2 linked regions of the Kluyveromyces lactis genome follow. The protein of the gene in region 1 interacts with the protein of each later gene in a pairwise test. Links are inferred from orthologs where the notes say so. Each region holds a gene or a part of one and is shown on either strand. Other genes may lie near its edges. The genes, in order: MUK1 and CDD1.

What was found.
Region 2: the proteins of MUK1 (region 1) and CDD1 interact in a two-hybrid assay, tested with the Saccharomyces cerevisiae proteins (2 studies listed by BioGRID). The link is inferred for Kluyveromyces lactis from reciprocal best matches to the Saccharomyces cerevisiae genes MUK1 and CDD1.

Annotation. Positions count from the first base shown.
Region 1 is NC_006041.1:2,073,515-2,077,381, reverse strand, and holds MUK1 (guanine nucleotide exchange factor MUK1), read left to right. Parts: upstream 1-1,619; coding exon 1,620-3,161; downstream 3,162-3,867. Other genes in the region: phosphatidylinositol-3-phosphate-binding protein BEM1, read left to right, coding at 1-340; KLLA0_E23343g (uncharacterized protein), read right to left, coding at 620-1,150; BTS1 (farnesyltranstransferase), read right to left, coding at 3,217-3,867. UniProt on the Saccharomyces cerevisiae protein: Putative GTPase-activating protein.
Region 2 is NC_006040.1:1,552,525-1,554,962, forward strand, and holds CDD1 (cytidine deaminase), read left to right. Parts: upstream 1-1,460; coding exon 1,461-1,904; downstream 1,905-2,438. Other genes in the region: SND1 (Snd1p), read right to left, coding at 1-508; methionine aminopeptidase MAP1, read left to right, coding at 2,431-2,438. UniProt on the Saccharomyces cerevisiae protein: This enzyme scavenges exogenous and endogenous cytidine and 2'-deoxycytidine for UMP synthesis.

The sequences.
Region 1 (3,867 bases):
ACAACTTCCAGAGGCAATGAAGAGACTGTCTCTGATTAATAGCGCTTCCAATGCCAGTGCTAAAGTCAAATCAAGGCCGCCTAGTGGTTTCGCTCCGAGAATAACTGATGAAAAGCCTGTCAAGATCAAATTTTATTACAAAGATGACATATTCGCCTTGATGCTGCATCCTACCATTACTTTTGAAGAATTGTGCAGTAAAATAGCACCTAGAATTGACGCAGATTCTTTTAAGTTGTACATCAAAAACGGAGATGATATTGGCACTCAAGTCACTACTGATGCAGAAGTACCGGTTCTAATTCAAGAGAAACGCAAGATCTTTGTCGATGACAGCTAAGTTATTTGTTGCAAAATTTTATCGTCATAATAAATAATACAAAAAGAACCCCAAGGTGGTCAAAATTCAATTTCTATCCACTGATGGCTTTCATGCTTATCATAATGATGTACTGTACATCGCATTGTAATACTTCAACATAATTTTGACATTAACACTCTTATATTCTTTCACATTAATTCAGTTCAACAAGTAAAAATCAGTTGTTTACATACTCTCTCTATAGGTGTTAATACTTCTATCAAAATGATAATAATACTTCACAAACATGTCTAAGGACTATTCATCCAGCTCTATGTCCATGTCTGCATCCGCGTACGGATCTGTATCGAGATCCATGTCAATGTCCATGTCCGCATTGTGATCAAACTCATCATTTCTATGCATGAGATTCGGTGCCAGATCAACTCTGGAATCTGCTGCAGTCTCAACATTCATATCTACTTCATCTAATTTTGGACTATGCTGTTGGTACCATTTTACCCACAAGCTTGCTACCACAGATCGCCAGTCATACCATTTTATTACCTGCGAGTTAAACTGTCGTACATGATCGAATATTCTTTCATATATCTTATCATTTTTGTTTGAACCACTCAATTCGCGTTCAACTACATCCCACATCCTTTTATTTACAACTGCTTTGAATGAGTTCAACCCTGAATCAATTTTATGTTTCTTTATCCCATCGGTTCCCCTAGGAGCCAACGATAGGTTTTCGAAATCATATATTAGCCGTTGTTTCTTATAGTTATCGATTCCTATCGGGTCAGGACTCCTTGACCTCTTCATCTTGAAGCCTGATGACATTGTATAGCTAATACCTTGCTCATTCGCAGTGAACTATTCTAAGCAGATGATCTGTTCGCTGCTACTTTTGTAGGTGTTGTTTCGTTTGTCCTAATTTATCTTATGGCCAACCGAGAACTTTCTGGAAGCTTAAAATGAAGATCATTAGAAATGTTTGTAAATTCACCCGTTAAGAAAGTTTCGTAGATGAAGCTGATACTACAGGTACTGGTTATCTTTTTCTTGTTAGATATCTCTTGATCGAGCCTTCAATATTGCCTTTAATATGCTTTTTTTCTTTTGTTTCTTCTAAGAGATATGTATTTGATCTTCTTCATAATTAAGGGTTTCGAATGTCTTTTTCATACTGAAACATTTAGTTCACAGCAACTTGGTTTACTTCAACAACGTTATAAGAAAAAGTTTATGATTTCTATCACTGCAAGCTTGTGAATCATCTTTGGACCTGCTCATGTATGGCAATTGAGCTATGTTCCATACTCCCCCATTTTCTAATGCTTCTTTCGATACTAAACAATCCATCACTGAATCTTATCGCGATAGTTTGAATTCGACGATTTCCAATAATAGCGATGCAAAGAAACCGAATGTCATGCTTCAAACTGCCAGCACATCGGCACCTCCATCACCAGAACTACCAATAGAATCTTCAGAATCCAATGATGATTTGATTCCCATTGCTAGTATACCTGATGAATTGATGAAATTGATTGATTTGTTCATTGATGATTTGAAACAGCCTAAATATTCCAGGCCTTTAATGATTACACAATTATCTCAGATATTCCAAAGGTTTTATGAGAGATTTGATAGATCTTGCCAACAACATTTTAATGCATTAGCCTCGCCTGGAAGTGTGAATGTTATGCTCAACGCGAGAGAAACGAGAAATAGTGGATTGAGTAGTATCTTCAACAGATCCAGAAGTAGTAGTTTTCGAAATAGCAGCATAAGAACAAGAACTAGAACTAATTCTGAACAGAATTATCAGCAATTGTTGACTCCAGAAGAAATATCCCATCAAATTAAGCTGCAAGAGGCTAATAATATCAAAACGGACCAGATTATGGATTTGTGTGAATGCGAAATATTCAAGAAAATACTGCAAGTTGGCACTTGTGTCCCAAATCATCCAACAAGACAGGCGAAATCGACTAGTTCGAATGAATGGAAAATGACAAGCCTATTTCGTAATAATCCGGAGTTTATTGAGTTTGATAAGATGTTGAATACTAAATTGAACACGATGAAAGAGTTAAGCAGTTCGCGAATACTTGATTTACCAGCATTTTTAGCGTTAGAGTTGAAACATAAAGAAAGACTTGATATGGTAGGGTTATTATTTGATAAGATGTTACATGAGAATGTATCCCCTTGCGACAAGGTACATTGCCTAATAGTATTGCATGATAAGCTATTGGCTCTTGATCAAAATAACGCTGATGAGATACTTCCTTCGATGATATATCTCTTGATAACAAATCCTCGAAAAGAATTGTTTTTGAACCTCCAGTTCATCAAGCTTTTCAGATTCCATCGAAGGTTGAAAGAGAAAGAATTATATGTCACTACGAATTTTGAAGCCGCGATATCTTTCATTGACTCGTTGACAACTAAGGATATAATAACATATTGCCAACACACTGATGAATTAAAACTTCCGCATTTGGAGTCTATCAGTGAACAAGTGAAACTTCCTCTAGCGACAGAGGAGTCATTTATACCGGATTTCAAAAGGTCTAACTCTCTTTCTGATTTAATATCTGTTGGTAATGTTATTGATTCTGGTTTTAGAAACTTGATGGGTCGCATCAAAACTTATACCCCGCCACCGCCACCACCACCACCGCATGTAGCACAGATACAGGTACCGCTACCAAGCATCGAGGTTACCGAGGGTCCTGCTACCGATTGGAGAAGGTACAAGGATTATAAATTCGAGGACTTGAAGGTTAGTGATATGCAAAGTATATTTGATATATATCGTGATTTAGCTAATAAAAATAAATAATGATGAGGAAGCTAATGAATTAATATATAAGATGGTCGTAATCAATATAATAGAATTAGTCTAACTGGGAGAGTTTCGACAATATATCTTTAACTGAAGAAAGCTCCTTTGGAACCAATTCAGTAGTAACTTTTTGTGCAAGAGTTTGGATAACCTGTCTGGTATATTCACCAGACTTTGTCTGGTGCTCCAAATAACTGAGCAATTTCTCTTTAGTACGAATCTCTGAAGGCCTTGATAAAACTGTTTTAAGGACATAATCATCGTTATCACCTTCATTCCTTGAACTAGCTATGGCATGAATTATTGGGAAGGAAAATTTCCCCTCGGTTAGATCATCAGCGAATCCCTTCTGTTCAAACATTGTCTTGGAGAATAGATTTAAATAGTCATCTCGTATTTGATACAAGATCCCAGCTGCATTAGCTAACGGTATAAGATCATATTTCTGTGCAAGCTCTTTTTTCGACAAGGCATGTAAAAGTCTCACCATTAACCTAAATAATCCTCCAGTTTTGTTCTTAGCCATCTCATAGTACTCGTTCACACTAGGAACAATCCCATCATCTCTCCAGTATATATCCTGACCTTGTCCCACATGAAGCCGTATTAGTTCGTCGTTGATAATTGATGGCAAAGATGGTTCATGCTCTTTAGCCAACAACTTCGAAATAGAAACATAAACTGCGCATTGAGCACTGTTCAA
Region 2 (2,438 bases), on another chromosome or scaffold:
GCAACATTTCTTTCGAAAGGAAAGTGGTAAACCATTTCAAAGAGGTTGGAGTGACTTTTATTTTATAATTGATATGACATCTTTCGCCAAGAGTTTCTTTTAGTTCCGTCCAAACAGTCTCTATCAAAAACTTGACTGTCTCTACGTATCTCAATGAGCCACTAGAAGAAATTTCCAAATGGAAATCAAAATCGCCTGCGAGTTGTCTTGAAAGTGTCCAAAGTTCATCATTTTCACCTATTATACTCTTCAAAATTTTATCTCTCAGCCTATGCAACTTAAACTTTTTGTTTATTCGAGAGAGCCTGTTATCCTTAAGCTCATCATTATAATAATCAATCGTTGGGATATCGATGTAAAGATATACGTTAAAGTTGCTCATGATCGGCGTCAACCGATCACAATATGAGATGAGATACAAAGAATCGACATTCTGTACTCGAACCTTTGAAGGTTCATGAACCTGCTGGTTCCATAACCGTGATGTTATATTAGTGGAGGAATCCATTTATTATAGTAATCCGTTGGAGATGTATTTGCATAAAATCAAGGATGCCTCAATAATCGGATTATGAATGGGTGTAGTTGAATCATAAGAAGAGAAAGACGCAGACTTACAGGATCTGATTTGCAGCTCAGAACCAGTAGAATAAAAGCAATAGTGATATGTAACAAATTCTCAAACTAGGAAACCTAATCTGCTTATTAATTTTGACCTTTAACCAGCGATAATTGAAGTTGCACCAGTAAATGAGTCAAATCAAACCAAACAAAAAAGTATACTAATTCGAAGACAACGTGAATAAGAAAACAAGGAAACCACAAGGTCCTTCAGCAAAGTTAGCAGCGATAAAGGTACTCTCCTTTGCGTTAAAATAGGAAAAAAAAAATAATGCAGTGGTGTCAAGTAAGGCGAAATCAGCTTCTCGTTCTCCTCTTTCCACAACTGCTGTTTTATGTTCAAGCTTTCACCTTTTCTCGTTCCTGACTTATACCTAGTTTCAGTTTTTTTTTTCTTTCTTCTTTCTTTCTTCTTCCGCTTTAGTTTGAGCGCTGACACTTCAGGTCACGTGACGAGAATTTTTGGACCCTCGTACATGTTTAGCATGACACAAAACGTGATAGGACTTAAGGAAGAGCATCGTACTATACCCCTGCGAGCATCTAATATGGCGGGAAAACTGTATCAGTAGACAAACGGGAACTGTTAGCTTTACTATATTTACATACATATAGTTCATATGTGCTTTGCGATCAACGGTAATTTTTTGTAAGTAAAAGCAGCCAAGACGAAATCAAGCAGATAGTGACATATTTCATTATATAAAATCTCGATATGATAACGATGTATTTCTCACACAAGAAGATATCAGCCATCGTTGTATAAAGAAACCAAGAGGCGAGCGTATAATACACGCTGGACCCAGTTCGCTACTGAATACGCATCATTGCAGTATAAAATGGAGATCAAGAGCAAACTGGACGGTATTGAACCTACACAGGTAGATAGAGCCATTTTAGAGAGTCAAAAAGCAAAAAGTGGTTCCTATAGTCCATATTCAAAATTTAGGGTCGGATGTTGCATACTGACAAAAGATGGTACTTATATCACAGGAAGCAATGTGGAGAATGCTACGTATGGAGCCACCATATGTGCAGAAAGAGCTGCTATCGTGAAAGCTGTCACAAGCTCCCACAGAGCAGATTGGGTTTGTGTCGCTATCAACAGCGATATGAGAGATAATTACATTCCGCCATGTGGAATCTGTCGGCAAACGATCAGAGAGTTTGGAAAAGAAGATCTGCCAATAATAATGACAAACTGCGACACCTCTGTCAAAAAAATTATGACCCTCAATGAACTATTGCCAGAAAGCTTCGGCCCAGATCACTTTCATAGGTGAGCTAAGATTCGACTCTTTTTTGTGCAAGATTTGAACTTTTCCATAGTAAGAAACGAAATCAAAAATCAAGAAAGTTCTATATAGTAATTATTCATTAGCGTTTTGAGAGAAAGTTAAGAAAACATGCCTTTGGAAAACACCTTCTCATAAGCTAGCTACTTAGGATCAGAAGTAACCGCCAGTTAATCAAAATTTTCTAAGCACTATTCTCTCAATCGCCCTAAACCGAGGTTGTTCCTAAGATATTTAGAAATGTGTCATAGATAATGCGGAGTCTTCGCACTGTAGAATTAAAAGAAAAGTATGACATTTAAACTCATCTGACTTTTCAAATAAAATTTTTTGTTTCGACCTTTAATAAAGAACATGAGAACGAGATGCGATGAGAGAAGCTCAGATACAGCTCTTTCTACTCCTCTCTCTCACTTATTTATACCAAACGTATTCCAAGTGATATAGAAGGTGTTTCTGAACTGCACTTACTGACATAGCAGCTGTAAATCTTGGAAGACACTAAGAGGAAAAAATGCAGGA